Linked DNA regions of Canis lupus familiaris. The protein of the gene in region 2 interacts with the protein of the main gene of each other region in a pairwise test. Links are inferred from orthologs where the notes say so. Each region holds a gene or a part of one and is shown on either strand. Other genes may lie near its edges.

Evidence for each region.
Region 1: the proteins of SIAH1 (region 2) and KHDRBS3 interact in a two-hybrid assay, tested with the Homo sapiens proteins (3 studies listed by BioGRID and IntAct). The link is inferred for Canis lupus familiaris from reciprocal best matches to the Homo sapiens genes SIAH1 and KHDRBS3.
Region 3: the proteins of SIAH1 (region 2) and CTSK interact in a two-hybrid assay, tested with the Homo sapiens proteins (2 studies listed by BioGRID). The link is inferred for Canis lupus familiaris from reciprocal best matches to the Homo sapiens genes SIAH1 and CTSK.
Region 4: the proteins of SIAH1 (region 2) and TMEM43 interact in binary tests that used the Homo sapiens proteins (3 or more experiments, as listed by UniProt). The two-hybrid records come from large-scale screens. The link is inferred for Canis lupus familiaris from reciprocal best matches to the Homo sapiens genes SIAH1 and TMEM43.

What each region holds. Positions count from the first base shown.
Region 1 is NC_049234.1:32,045,506-32,049,471, reverse strand, and holds part of KHDRBS3 (KH domain-containing, RNA-binding, signal transduction-associated protein 3), read right to left. Parts: intron 2,808-3,966; exon of another isoform or gene 2,703-2,807; intron 423-2,702; coding exon 227-422; intron 1-226. UniProt on the Homo sapiens protein: RNA-binding protein that plays a role in the regulation of alternative splicing and influences mRNA splice site selection and exon inclusion. Binds preferentially to the 5'-[AU]UAAA-3' motif in vitro.
Region 2 is NC_049223.1:65,986,457-65,990,978, reverse strand, and holds the start of SIAH1 (E3 ubiquitin-protein ligase SIAH1), read right to left. Parts: upstream 3,141-4,522; 5' UTR 2,644-3,140; coding exon 2,553-2,643; intron 254-2,552; coding exon 1-253. UniProt on the Homo sapiens protein: E3 ubiquitin-protein ligase that mediates ubiquitination and subsequent proteasomal degradation of target proteins.
Region 3 is NC_049238.1:60,586,910-60,589,830, forward strand, and holds the end of CTSK (cathepsin K precursor), read right to left. Parts: coding exon 2,855-2,921; intron 2,609-2,854; coding exon 2,503-2,608; intron 1,564-2,502; exon of another isoform or gene 1,464-1,563; intron 645-1,463; coding exon 545-644; downstream 1-544. UniProt on the Homo sapiens protein: Thiol protease involved in osteoclastic bone resorption and may participate partially in the disorder of bone remodeling. Displays potent endoprotease activity against fibrinogen at acid pH. May play an important role in extracellular matrix degradation.
Region 4 is NC_049241.1:4,315,443-4,319,408, forward strand, and holds part of TMEM43 (transmembrane protein 43), read left to right. Parts: coding exon 1-78; intron 79-845; coding exon 846-895; intron 896-1,165; coding exon 1,166-1,235; intron 1,236-1,997; coding exon 1,998-2,068; intron 2,069-2,919; coding exon 2,920-3,041; intron 3,042-3,319; coding exon 3,320-3,394; intron 3,395-3,812; coding exon 3,813-3,966. UniProt on the Homo sapiens protein: May have an important role in maintaining nuclear envelope structure by organizing protein complexes at the inner nuclear membrane. Required for retaining emerin at the inner nuclear membrane.

The DNA.
Region 1 (3,966 bases), on a different chromosome or scaffold from region 2:
TCTTAGATGTAAGCTACTTGATGAAAGAGGCTATTTCTTTCTCATTTTTTATGCTTCTCATATCACACCTTATTTAGCACTCAATAAATGTTTGCTGAACTAAGGTGGAATATTTGAGAATAACAGCAAGTAAGGGCAGGTACTTGGTTACAACATCCAATGCTATGTATATATGGACTGGCTCGATCAGATCAGCACAGCTGCTGTGTGACCTGACTTGACTTACATAATCTCCATAGGTCTCTTGTGTTGGGGGTGGTGGTGGAGGTCTGTACCCAGTTGGGGGAACTCCTCTTGCTCTGGGAGTGAGAAGTCCTCTTCCCCGACTCACTGGCCCTCGGGTGGAAAGGACTCCCCTGGAAGCTGGCGTCCCTCGTGGTACACCAACTCCAACTGGCCGGGTGGTGACTCCTCCCCTTCCCCTGCAAGCAAGAAGGTCAAGTTAGCAATATTCATCATATTCTCTACCATTCCATGGTTCACATGAATTTATATTTCAGAAAAATCAACGTTCCATATTTCTGTAAAGAGAAATAAGGAAATCATATGCAAAGTGAAAACTAAAACAAGTGAGAAACAACTACATAGCAAAAGGAATTTAAGTCATTTCGGTGGCTTATCCAGCAGCAATAAATAAAATAACAACAAAGAAACCCCAAGACTCAATTTCTGGCTAAGAGAGAGTAGGAAGCTATGACACGTGGGAAGGCTGCAGCACCTACTGAGGATCTCTCTGTGATGCCAGGTCAGGCTCACAACCAACCTTCATGCCAGCACTATGAAGTGGGCTGTATCTGCTTGTCTGTGGACAAGGAAACCGAGGCTACAGAGATCTTCAAACCGAGGACACACCACTAGCAAAGCTAGGGACCAAAGCATACATCAGAGTTCCATGAAAGAGAAAATTAAATGTACCTTCCCAAATAATGTACTGAACATTTAGTAATTTAAAATACCATTCTTAAGTTAAATAAACACAGATACTTTCTGAAGTAGAATTCAGCATATTTATGTATTTCTAACATAAAATATAAGATTTCAAGTCAGAGAGGAAGGAAGAAAGGAGCTGTATCAAGAAGAGCTCAACATAAGCAAAAACTTGAGAAAATGTGCAAGGCTTATGAAGAAATGAAGATGGAAAAATGCAGCTACACCACAGAATAAAGATTTGGCGTGATCCACCTGCCACAACATCCCCCAAATAAGGAGAACTGTCACAGATAATGTGGATGCCTACATGTCTTCTTCAGTTTGATTGGGATAACAAATACCTAGCTAAAAACAGAGAAAATTATCAAAACCAAAAGCTGTTTCTTTGAACGGATCAATATAATTGATAAACATCTCGGTATGCTAAACAAGAAAAATAAACAATATCAGAAATGAAATTGGGGTCCTCACTACTGACTGAAAGGGCATTAAAGGATATAAAGAAGATTACAAACTCAAGGCCTATAAATTTGTTAACTTAGATGAATTTCACTAATTCCTTGAAATATACAAATGACCAAATCCAAACCCCACAAATGGGGAATTAAGCAACTGGAATAAAGTTCTATTAAAGAACTTCAGTGAAAAAGTAATTACTAACCTTTCAAAACAAAAAAGCACCAGGGTCCCTGGGTAGCTCAGTCAGTTATGAACCCGACTCTTGATTTCAGCTCAGGTCATGATATTGGGGTTGTAAGATCGAGCCCCACATTAGGCTCCATACTGGCCATGGAGCCTGCTTAAGGTTCTGCCTCCCACTCTGCCCCCCTCCACCCCTCTATTAAAAAAAAAAAAAAAAAAAAAAAGAAAAGAAAATAAAAGAAAAAAAAAAGAAAAGAAAAGAAAAGCACCAAGCCCAGATGGTTTCACTGGTCAATTCTTTTATATATTAGTCTAGGGAAGATGCCAAGGGACTGGCCTAGCTGATATCTGACCTCCCCAGGAAGGGACATGTCATCCAAAGGGGAAAAAGGATGAGGCCTCCTAATAACCAAAGACATTATGAAATGAAACAAAACAAAACAAAACAAAATCCACATCTTTCCAAGAACAAAGGTGCACAATTCCTCAATAATAGTAGCGAATTAAATCCAACAATATATTTAAAAGGTATATACCATGACCAAGTGGGATTTATTCCAGGTATGTAAGGCTGGTTCAACATTAGCAAACAAATGTGACCTACTACATCAACAGGCTTAGGGGGAAAAAAAATCATATAATCATAAAGAGCAGAAAAAAACATCTAACAAAATACAACATCATTCATGATAAAAATTCTCGACAAAGCAGGAATAGAGGAAAATATCTCCAAGTTGAAACAAAGATCTACAAAAACCTACAACTACTATCATACTGAAAGGTAAGAAACTGGATGCTTCCCCCTTATGACTGGGAATAAGGTAAGGATGGCCATTCTTACTACTCCTATTCAAATTTTACTGGAAGTCCTAATTCAGTAAGAAAAGGGAATAAAACTTGTAAGATTGTGGAAGAAAAAATAAAATTTTATTTACAGGTGACATCATTTCCATGTAAAAATTCCCAAAGAATTAATCAGAACAAAATAAAACAAAGCAAGCAAACAAATAAAAACTCCTAGATCTTATTGCACAAACCAAGGTCTCAGAATACAGACAATAACTCAACAATATATATCATACAACAGCAATGGACAACTAAAATTTGAAATTAAAAGATAATTTAACAGTATTTGTTTTGGCAAGATATATACTAAAATTGTAATAATACCGAGAAGATTAGCAGAGTCTCTGCTCAAGGACAACATATCAATTTGTGAAGTATTTCATATTTCCCTATGCATGTCGGCGGGGGTGGAGGGGCAAGGGGCCTTTGGGAAATCTCTGTACCTTCCTCTCCATTTTGTTGTGAACCTAAAATTGCTGTAGAAAAAAAAAAGTCTTTAAAAAAATACACAATAAAAAAATTAAAAATACAAAGTAATGATAACATTTATTAAAGCAAGGAAATAAATGAAATGTTTTGGTACAAATCTAACAAAATCTAACTGTACAACTAACTATTCTATGTAGAAAACCATAAAACTCTGATGAAATAAATCAAAGGAGAAATATCCCATGCTTAACGATTATTACAGTCAATACTGTTCAGTTGTCAATTCTTCTCATCTTGACCTACAGACTCAATATAATCCCAATCAAAATCCCAGAGAAATACTTTGTAGACTGACGAACATATTCTAGAGCGTATATAGAAATGCAAAAGAGCCACAACAGACAACTTAATACTGAAGAAGAAAATTCTAGATGACTCACAGCATCTGACTTATTATGAAGCTACAGTAATCAAGGTAATAAGTATTGATGGAAAAAATATACACACAGAACAGTAGAACAAAAGAGAGAGCCCTGAAATTGATTCATAGAAATGTAGTCAAGGGACTACTGACAAAGAAGCAAAGACAATTCAATGAAATAGTGCTGGAACAAACAGACTTCTATGTGTGCCACAAAAAGAAAAAAAAAAAGAAACAGAAAAGAACCTAGACATATCTTTCACAAAAGTTAACTCAAAATGGATTTTAGACTTAATATAAAATATAAGACTTATAGAAGAAAATTCAGAAGAAATCAAGAAATCAGTGTGACTTTGGTTTGATGATGAGGTTTTTTTTTTTTTTTTTTAAGATTTTATTTATTTATTCATGAGAGAGAGAGAGAGAGAGAGAGGCAGAGACACAGGCAGAGGGAGTAGCAGGCTCCCTGCAGGGAGGTCAATGTGGGACTTGATCCAGGGTCTCCAGGATCAGGCCCTGGGCTGAAGGCAGCGCTAAACCGCTGAGCCACCTGGGCTGCCCTGATGATGAGTTTTAGATACAACATATAAAACGTAATCCATGAGCTAAAAATTGGTAAGCGGGACTTTCTTAAAGACTTCTCTGAGAAGGACACTGTTAAAAGATGAAGAGACAGGTCACAGAAAAGGAGAAAATAC
Region 2 (4,522 bases):
TTGCGAATGGATCCCAAAGGGCCCCGGCAGGTTGGACAACATGTGAGCTTTGGGCGACAGTTGCTACAAACAAGATGGCCACTCTGACACTGAAGAATGGGTGGTAACACATAGTCAAAGCAGACCGGACACTCAAAAAGACTCGCCAAGTCATTGTTGGATGCGGTTGTGCCAGTCAGGGCGGGCACCCTCTGAGACGGGGTACACTTTGAGGTTCCAGTAGGTAATGCTGTTGCAGTCTGGCGGCTCATTTCTGTAACGAAAACATAAATAAAAATAAAAAGAGGCAGGAGAAATAATTAAAACTCTCACTTGTTTTATAAATAATGTTTACATGCCAGAAATACTTAAGTTTTATGAAAAACATACTGTGAGCAAAAAGAGTAAAGGATTTAAAAAAAAAAAAAAACACAAATTACACGAATTATGCATTTTGAGTATTATAGGAGTTGTGGACCAGATAAAATCTCTTTTATCAAAATGTCCCAAAACACATGTAGAATTCCCTTTCTTAAAAAAATATTAAAAAATCCCTTTGGATGAATTATACAATATGGAATAAATGCTGAAACAGAAACCAGACTGTAAACAACTAAGAAACCCTGTGTTAAGTAGCTTAAGTTCAACCAAAGCTGTTTTCACTGAACTTTCCCCTCTCCCTCGGTGTTCAATTGCCCTGCTCAGTCCATTTCTTTTCCATTCTAAGGCAGCTCGAAACAGTGACAGGGAGTCAGTCACAAGTAATCCAAAGGATCACCCAGGACATCAGCTCTGATTAACTCCGCCTAATGGCAAACAGTTATCTGCTTCAGTTGTAGATTTAGGGATGGAGGGGTCGTCAGGGGAAGGATCTGCTGCCATCCCATCATGCACCTTCATCTATTAAGTCTTCCCCTAGAATCTGAACACCAGCTACGTGTTAATTAATCTTACTTCCTACTGATCAGTAGGCCCCATAATAAAGGTGGGAGAAAGAGAAGAGAAATGGAGGGTAATCTCAAAAGTTTTTAGGTACTCAGAGAAAGTACATCTTTCTACTCTATTTCCATTGCACAATAAAATTACATATAATTTGAAAAGGGGAAGAAAAGAAGTAATTAAAGAATAAAGATTAAAACACCAGAGACACATGCAACATTGGGGACAGTAAACAGGTTAAGAATTCCTTGTATCCTAGGGTTCACTAGTGTTGCTGAAGCATTCATCAGCACAGGAATAAATATTATTTGAGATAAATGTCATCTGGAAGAAACGACAACAATGTAACTAGTTTGTCAGGCTAAATGAAAGATAAAGCAAATAAATACCTTTCCCAGGAATCTACTTTGTTAGGATATGACAGGCCATATTTGTCTCAGGGATAACAAAAGATCAGTCTACTGATGTCCCAAGACTGTATTCCCAACAACTATACAAACCATATTTCTAACAAAACTAAAACTGAATGCCTCAAATTTAATGCTTCCTCAATGTAATCATTATTGCTGCAAAGAACCTGACTTTAAGAAAACAACGCTGGTTACCCATGTGACTATATAAAAGCAACTGGACTTCTAGATTACTCAAGGATAGACACCAAGTGAGGGTTGAAGGTGACAAAAAAAATAGTCCACTGTCAACTAAAGTTAATATTCTACAATTCAAGAGTCTACAAAAGTACAGAATTCCACCATAAGGTGGCTTGTCACATGGACTTAAGGGACAACGGGAATCAATTCTCATCACCTGAAACACTGTACAACCCAGGTGTTTGATTCTTTGTGAGTACGATGATCCATGCATTTTCTACCACTTGGAAACAACGGGCTCAGCCTTGCCAAAATGCCCCACGTATATGCTGTATGCCTGTCTCGTGGTCCATTTTATACTGCTCACTTATGTGAGCAATGTTAGAATTGGAAAGTGGCTCCCTGCACACAAAACAGTCTAAACCACTGATGCCTTTTCAAATTACTAAACCAAACAAGCTAATCACATCAAGGAACAGTAAACTCGGCTTGTATTCAAAATAATAGAACTAGGAAAATATAAGCAAGAAAAATACTATCGTTTCATTTCCAGACCGAGCAAATAACTATACATAATCATCAATCATTCAGGCTTACATTCCAATATTATCTTTATTACTTTTGCAAACATTGTAAAAAAAACAAAAAACAAAAAACAAAAAAACAGTTTAAATCTCTAAAGAGTGAAAACAAGTGAAATGAGGCCGGTATTTCTTGCGAATGGAGGTATTACAGGACAGAAGGTGCTAAAACCTCCCAAAGCACCAAAGGTGGAACCCAGCTCCATCTTCAAACAAAAAGAACCCCAACCACAGAGCAGCCCTGCAGTAGGAACCACGGACTCAAGTGTCTTCAGACAACCCTGCAGGAGTGATGACGTAACCTGAAGCTTGGTTTAAACAGAGAAAAGTACAGTAGATCAAAAGAAACAGCAATGCAAACTAGAGCTCAATTACATTGCAGCCACTCCCTGATCCCGATTCCCCCAGCTCACAACTTTTCCCGGTTCATACTTTAAGCATCCCAGTCTCTTGGTGTCAATACCTTTTCTCTTCCTTGTCCCAGCTGCTGGCAGACATGTGAGCAAGACGCCCCTCCAGGAGTACGGAAAAGGTAAGGGAGACTTCCCGGTCATGAGAAGTCAGGCGGCTCATAGCCCTTCCCCCAGGAGCAAACACGATTTGTAACAGAGGCCCTGCTGGATGGACACGTTCTGCTCCTAAGCACGTCGGAGTTCAAGTCTTCAAGCAGCGAAGGTAAGCGCCCTGCTCTAGGATCCCCCATTCACTCCTCCGAAGCACCGGCTGCCGCAGCAGCAGAGGAACGAAGCCTCTCCCGTCCCCTCAGGAGTCCACCACACCTCCCCGCGAGCTCCAATTCGCCTGCGTTTCCAAAAATGGGCGCCATCACCGGAGCTGTCCTCCGCTGGGCCCTCAACCGCCTGCCCTGGAAGTTTGTCTTCCCCACATTCACTAGCCCGCCAGCGTGGGTGAAGGATGGGGCTGCAGGGTGCGCGGGGGCTGGTCAGGCGCACCCCGGAGCCAGCTCGGAGCTGCCGCAGGGTCCGGCCCGCCGGAGAGCCACGCGGGGCCCAGGGCTGGGCCTGGCGGTGCTGGGGGAGCCTGCTCCAGCCCGCAGCGCCCGCCGGCCTCCGCTCGCAGCGCCCAGCCCAGCCCAGCCCAGCCCAGCCGCAGCGAGCGCGGGGCGGGGCCGGCGGGGCCTGCGGGGCCGGACAGGGCGGGGCGGGGCGGGGCCGGCGCGGTGGTCACGCCCGCAAGCCCCGCCCCCCAGCCCAGGGCCGCTGGGGCGCTGCCCCGCACAACCCAGACCCTGCCCTCGACCCCAGGCAACACTGCAACCTCACCCATTTCCACAAGCTTACATTTAGTTCGAAACATGTCTTTCTGTAGAAAACAGATGCTGCCAATTCTGTATGATTTCAACCTAAGACCTACATAGAGTATATGAGAATTACGTGGCCAGAAAAGTGCTCTTCTCCTGGTTAACCATGTGTGAACTGTGCTCATAGAGTAAAAGCACTCTCCCCACTTCGTTCACTATATACTGGGCGTCAACGACCCGATTTCCTCAATTCTAACTCACTCCTCCACTTCTATCCCTGGTGACATCATACTTGAAACTCCTTCTCTTCCTTCGAATAGATTGCAGTGAGAGTAGTAAACACCCGTAACTCTATTAAACTCCTTCAACCTCCAAACTGAGATTATATTCTCTTCCCAGTCTGGGAAAACCATCTTAAATGGCCTCATTAAACAGAGAAGCTTGTGTTTTTAAAGAAGCATTACACGGGCCCCAATAAAGTCCTGGGCCTCAGATTTGCCCTGCGTCAGGTGGTACACTCAGGGGTTTAACCTGTCATTATATCATGCTTATAGGGCAGCCTTTAAACGCACAGCAGGAGCTCATGGTGGGAATGAACCCTGTGCAGTAAATTGTAGATTACCCATTTTCCAAATCAAATTTTAGTTCCAATCACTTCCAGACCCTATTGTATTCAGTCATTTCAACCTCACGTTAATATTAGGCTACATGAAACATCATTGGGAATAGAAATATGGATGAAGTTAGATAAAGTCTGCTCACTGACAAATATAAATTATTATTACCTACATTTTCATTTCCTAATACATTCACCCTAGAGCGGTCTCAGGCTGATAGGGCAGACGACTTCAAATGTTTTAGGCATCCCTGCCTTTCCAGAGTTAAAACTGAACCTAAATGTATAAAACAAGTCAAAGAGAAGGAATGATGGGGGGGAGGGGGGATCACTTTTCCCAAACTTCCGAAAGAGGTTACAGAGCCCTACAGAGTCTCTGAAAACCATTAACCTACAGACAAACCTCTCAACAAGTGAGTCAGGACAATAAAAGTGGCATCATTCTGGAGTCTCCTACACACAGCTGGATCCAAACCTAGTCTTCACCACCTGCTCAACCATAAAATGGGGACAAAATTTCCAGCCTCACGCAGCTTTTGTCTGGATTAAAGGAGAT
Region 3 (2,921 bases), on a different chromosome or scaffold from region 2:
GAGACAAGAGATACTTAGTTTACTGTAAAAATGCAAAGAAGAAAACACATTTCTTGTATCACATGAACTTGTACCAAAGATTTATGAATAGATTTATTAATTGGGGTGGAAAAAATAGAAATTTCTATTTTCAGGATATAGAAGTGAACTTGGAGAGGTCAGGTCACCTTAGTCCTGTAGGTGGTTAAAGCTAACTAGTCACTGAGAATGAGAATCTGTCTGAAGATCTCTAGCCTCTGACTCTCCGCATAGCATCAGCCTCAGGACAACAGTCTGGTCAGGCTGTGGGCATATCTCTTAGCCTAAGAATGCATCCTGTTAGGGAAATTCCTACTGTGGGCACAGTGAAAAATAAAGGCCTTGGGTGGAGAGAAGGCAAATAGTAGGGGTGTTACTTGAAGCACAAACAGGGAAACTGAGTGGACAATCTCTATATTGCTACAACTGCTTCAGAAAAGGCACACTGACTCTCTCCCAAAGTACATCAGTATGCTGCTCCATCATGGAAGGAATGGAAAAGCAGGATGAGGTTGGCTGGCTGAAGTCACATCTTGGGGAAGCTGGCCAGGTTGGCAATGCCGCAAGCGTTGTTCTTATTCCGAGCCATGAGGATATAGCCTTTGTTTCCCCAGTTTTCTCCCCAGCTGTAGGACCAATGAAGGAAAATACTTAGTACCCTAAGTTTATTTATTCATTAAAACACTTACTGACTATTGTGCTAGGTACTGATGGTATAAAAAATGAATAAAACAGTTTTTACCTTTAAAGCATTTAAAGTAAAGGAAAGGAGAGAAGGCATAATGCTAGAGGCCTCAAGGACAGGGGAGACTGCGGTGATCAAGGAATCAAAAAAGGCTTAATGCAAGAGGCAGCATTTGAAGTGAGCCCAAAGACTAGATAGACCCATGCAAATGGGATGCCAGCAGAGGAGTATGAAATACTAAAGGCAGGAAAGCATGAGACATGTGTGAAGATTAGGTGACTGAAAAATAGCGTGTTTGACAGGGTACAGTAGGACATATGCCTGGAAAGGTATATTGAGATCAGGTTGAATTATCTTTACTGCCAGCCTAAAGAGTTCAATTCTGTGGTCCATTCTAGTGGAAGAGAGACTGAGAGTTTCAGATTGGGAATGTAATATGGTCCAACTTGTGTTTAAGGAAGAATAATCTTGAAATCATGAATCTAGAGCATAAGAAAGAAGTAAGAGAGGCTGAAACTGGTGATCTTGGTCTTACTGGGTAAACCCAAAAGGAGAGATGAAGCTACGAGAATGAATGAGACTGCTGAGGAAAGAAGTGGAGAGAATGGAAGACAATGGGGTGTGGGAGAGGAGATTGGTCTATGTATCTTCCTAAATAGTTTCCATGAGTTTTCTGTCCTTTTCCCTCAAACAGCAAATTCTCCAGTTACCCAATACATTTTGCTTAACACCATTACCCCACTCCTATTCCCTTCTCTAGGGGTGTCCAGTGATCCTGACCCTGCTTAAGTGTGTCCCTTATTCCTCCCAGCTCTCCTAGATCATGTTCCACCTCTGGCACCTGACCAGGGAAGGACAGAGTAAGTACTTGGGGCTGGGAGTCGACAAAGGGAGAACATAGGACAGAAACTGTGGGAGGAGTACCTTTTTAGAAAGGTGTTTGGGTTCAGCCTTAGTTGGGACTGTGATCTACACATTCTATCCTTCCAGTCCTCTAGACAGCAGCACAACTTGCTTATAGCACTGTTCTGGCCTGTGAACTCCTCAGAGTCTAAGACTCCTGTCCACTGAAGGCACCAAGGACAGAGAGTTTAGTTAGTGCTGTTGCCAGGCTGGTATTGGCCGATGAGGAAAGGAAAAGTATAATTCTCATTAAGTTTACCCTCCAAAGTCACAAAAGGGGAGCCAAAGAACACTGTAGGTTTTATTTACTCCCAGTAATAGGGAAGGAAACACTAATTGTTGTTGTTGTCTTATCTACTTCCCAAAAAGTGTTTCTCTTCACAGACATCAAAATCTTTGGCCAATTTTTATATATGTTATCCTAAGTATATCTGGACGGGCAAAAAGTTGCACAACTGGATATAAATCTTTACATTGGTTCCCTACTGCTTACAAACAGACTGATGATGGAAAGCTTCCTAAGATATTGATCACATTATAGAAAAAAGAAATAAAAAACTATGTAATTCCAAACTTCCTGCTGGTTTCTTGGTGCTATTGTATGTTCTGGTTAGTTAGGTCTTTCTTAAGGGGCTGTGAGATCACCAAAGGCAAACATTCTGTTCTTTGCTATACAACTAAGTACCTTGCATGTGGGGCAGCTGCCCAACACATACTCTGAGTACTACTGTCTGGCCATGATATGTTAGAACTAATAGCCTCTGATTGGGAAGGGAGAACTAAAAAGTTTGAGACGACTTTCTCTTGAAGAGAGAGAAAGAAATATTGGGAAGTTGGAGTTGAAGTTGAGTGCTAATAGGGGGATCGAGTGCCAAACTTAGTATCCCCATCATTACCTGTTTTTAATTATCCAGTGCTTGTTTCCTTTCTGGATGCCATATCCCACTGCCAAAACTGCATGGTTCAGATTATCGCTATTACAGTTTTCATCGTAGTACACACCTAGGAAACAAACTCTCAAGGTGAAGCTTTCTGCAGTCCACGTGCCACCCTATAGAAACCTGCCCTGTCAGGAGGATCGGTGACAGAGATGCACTGCACTGTGGCAGCTGTTGTTCCCTTTCCCTTGGGCAGACTCAGTCTGAATGTGGAAACCCAAGTACGGCAAATGCTCAGTAGCCTTCGAGAAGCTGCAAAGCTCACATCATAAGAAATAGTTGATTGTGTTCTTTAGGAACAGCTCCTTACCTTTGCTGTAAAACTGGAAAGAGGTCAGGCTTGCATCAATGGCCACAGAGATGGGTCCCACTCGGGC
Region 4 (3,966 bases), on a different chromosome or scaffold from region 2:
CTATGGGGTCCACCTCCCGGCTGTGAAGCTGCGGCGGCACGTAGAGATGTACCAGTGGGTAGAAACAGAGGAGTCCAGGTGAGGCCCCGAGGAGTGAACAGTCCATCAGGGATAAAGAAAGTGCAGGTGGCAGGATACGTTGCAGGTGGCTTTTTATTTTGACACTTCCAAAGTTTAAAGTATGAAATCTTCCACTCAGAGAAATGTCAAATTATCCCAAAGTTCTTAGTCAATGATCTTTTGTGTGGAGGTGGCAGGAATCTAATGCAAGTGGCTCAAAGAAGGGAGGATGCTGCTTGTGGTAGAAAGTCACCCAGGGATGGGCAGGCTCGAGACATGCCTGGATCCAGGCTGCAAACGGTGCTTTCCTCTGTGTGGGCTCTATGGTCTCTCCCATGCCAGAGCAGAGGTGGCCCCGGGTTCCATCCTGTCTGTTCCAACACAAGCTGTCATTAGGCGAGGGTCGCTTAGAGCTGAGCGGCCTGGACTGTGAGTAAGGGATAGGGGGGTGGCTCAGGGAACCAGGGCATCTGGAGGGGGGCTCCAGGGAACTGTGCTAGAGCACAGGGTGAAGCCAGGTTTCTGAGCCCAGAGGGTGGCCAAGTGGAGGCACATTTTAGCTCAGGATGAGAAAGTTCTTTTCTCCAGCATGGGCCTCCAAAGGACGGAGCTGGCTGTGTGGCTGGGAGTGAGTACCTGGTCTCTGGGCTGCTGTAGACAAGGTCAGCTCCATTTGGGGATTTTGACCTGGCAGCCCCGTGTTGCTTCCAGCTGGAGATACTCAGAGACAGGAATGCCTCAGGGGTGATAGGCTGACTCTGGGGCTGCCTATGCTTTCCCTGCAGGGAGTACACGGAAGATGGGCAGGTGAAGACAGAGACAAGGTATTCCTACAGTGAGTACCACCCCCACCCCCCTGCACACACGTGGTCTCTGCCCTTAGCCAAGGCTGACAGCAGTAGGGAAGGCATAGAACCAGGCATTGGGAGCCCTGGGTGCCCATCATGGGAGTCCTGCTCTTCCATCTGTCCAGTGAGGCTCTAGGAGCCACCCCTTCTGCCCTGGAGTGGCCACGGGCTTAGATAAAAGGACACAGAGCCAGTGGTCCTCAGACATATGGCCACTCTTACTATGGTTTCCGAGTTATTCCCTCTCCCTGTCACAGACACTGAATGGAGGTCAGAAATCGTCAACAGCAGAAACTTCGACCGAGAGATCGGCCACAAGAACCCCAGGTGAGAGCTGGGTGCCCAGGCCTGAGCATAGTCTTGCCTGCCAGTGGCAGGCCCCTAGCCCCAGCTTCCCCATCTGAGTGATGGCGTGGAGCTGCTTCTGCCTCATGAGTTGATGATAGTCGGGGACATGGTTCTGAGGCCGGCTCCTGTGGCACATGGAGGCAAGAGCTGACTTCCTGAGACCACACAGGCTCCCCTCAAGTCGTGAATGTGAGGCCTGGACTGAGTGCCTGAAGGAACTTGCACATCCAGTGCCAGGGAAGCATTCTGTTACCGGCTGTGGGGGTGGGAAGACAATCAGAAGGACTTTCAGGAGGCCATGAATTTGATGTAGGCCTTTGTAGGATGTTGGCAGAGGGCAGCTAGCTCAGAGACATGGGGGTGGTGAGATGGGCTTAGTGGTGGAGCCATGGGAGGGGCTTTGAGTCTGCACCGTGGCTGGCACGGGAGCTCCCTGTGGCTGGGGAGGGCCTGGGAGGGTCTGAAGTCCATCTGACAACGGGTGGCTGGGGAGGGGAAGGCCGGTAGGGGCCCTAGGTGAGAAGTTATGAAGCTCTGGGAGACAGGAAGAGGGTGCTCCACCCAGGCGAGGGGGACAGGAGTCTCCAGGGGCAGGTCTGGTAAACACAAGATGTCCCCAGTGCCTGGGCTGGTCTGGACTGGCAGGAGCGCCTGGGTGGGAACCCTGCCTGGTACAACCCAGAGACCCAGAGGGCTCCTGGCCAGTACCCTGCTCTGCCAATAGCTCTTTCTGCCCCACAGCGCAATGGCGGTGGAGTCCTTCACGGCAACAGCCCCCTTCGTGCAGATTGGCAGGTTCTTCCTCTCAGCAGGTGAGTCTCTGGCCCCTTCAGATGACCCAGCAGCACCCAGAGGCCGTGTGCTTCTACTTGGCCGCCTCGCAGGAGCTGGGGTCCCCGCTGCCCCGGGTGTGGGATCGGCCTGCGCTTTCCCGGCATCATACATTGGGCTGGGGGCCAGAGGGAAGGCAGGTAGGTCCCGGGGAGGTGGGAGACTTGTGTAGAGCAGCCCCATCCCAGCCAGGTTCCCCTGAACACGGTTTCTTCCAAGTACTGCTGGTGCCTGGTCTGACCAGACAGAGCTGAGGGCCTTCCTAAGCGGTCCCAGAGCCAGCCGTAGAGACAAGGCTGCCCCCCACGGGCTCCACCTCTGAGCCCCACCCAGCGTGCAGCAGTTCACTGCAGGCCCCTCCGAGTGACTCCAGACAGAGGCTTTCCAGGGACAAGGCAACACTGCCGGCCACAGTGACTCCTGGGGTGGGAGAGAAGCACAGGCCCCAAATAGCCAGGGTAGGGAGGAGGGGTGGAGGCCCAGCACAGTCAGGGCAAGGGAGGAGAGGCCGGGCCCTAGGGCCTGGCTCGTGTGGCTGCCGTGCTGCTGGCTGCTGTGCCTGGCAGCCCTGGCCTCAAGTGTCATGCAAGCAGCAGGGGAGCCAGGCTCAGGCAGGGGCTCAGGCTGTTCTCAAAGCCGCAGCCACTCTTGCTGCCCCGAGAGACAGCCAGGGAGGCTTCCTAGAGGAAATGGAGACTGAAGGGGGCAGCAGTAGGGAAGGAGGGATTGGAGATCCCGGCGCTCCCCTTGGGAAGGAGGTCAGGCTGTGGGGTGTGCAGGTGGTAGGGAGGTTGTTTGCACACCAGTGTTGTAACCGCTGCACACTCCTCAGGCCTCATCGACAAAGTAGACAACTTCAAACCGCTGAGCCTGGCCAAGCTGGACGACCCGCACGTGGACATCATTCGCAGGGGAGACTATTTCTACCACAGCGAAAACCCCAAGTACCCAGAGGTACACAGGGCTTTGGGCTGTTCACGTAGCAGAGATCAGGGCCTTGGAGTGCCCCTCCCCCCGTCTTCCCGCCCCACAACATAGAGGAGGCACATTCCTGTTTGGGACTCGGATTCGGTTCAGTTTAATCCACCTGGCCAAATGAAATTGGAGGGGGCACCTGGGCCATGGTATGGAAGCGGGAGAGCAGTGTGAGCCTTGGGGTTTGGCGGTGCTGGGGACATGGGCCCAGGCTGGCTGCCCCGGGCCTCACTCAGCCCCCCGCTCTTCACTCCCAGGTCGGAGACGTGCGTGTGTCCTTTTCCTATGCGGGGCTGAGCGGCGACGACCCGGACCTGGGCCCGGCTCACGTGGTAACCGGCTTCCCCTGCGCGGACCCAGGCAGAGCCACCTCACCTCCCGCTGTGCACGGGGCCCTGAGCGCATGGGACCCTTCCTGTGTGCGTGCACTCCCGTGGGCACACGGCGGGCGTGCCTTGAGCGGCCTCAGCCCTGTGTGCACCACAGCTATCCATGGACACCCGTGGGCCCCAGGATAAGGGGCCTTTCTCCTGCTGCTTTAGAGGGCCCTCCTGGGAGAGTTCCTCCAATTGCACACTCCTTTTCTCCCCCCAGCCCCCAGGCTTTGCTCTGTAAATACTTGGTCTCCAGTCTGTGACCCTGTCACGTGTCACATGCAGTTTCACCCCTGGCCCCGGCCCTGACACAGGCTTCTGCGCCAGGTCCTCCCTGGAGTTGTGAGTGGGCTGGATCTCCTCACTCTCCTTGCAGGCACATGGTGCGAGGGCTGCCGGGGCCTGGCCGCCTGATCCCCTCAGCTCTAACCCTGAGGTCTCTGACCAGGTCACTGTGATTGCCCGGCAGCGGGGTGACCAGCTGGTCCCCTACTCCACCAAGTCGGGGGACACCTTGCTTCTCCTGCACC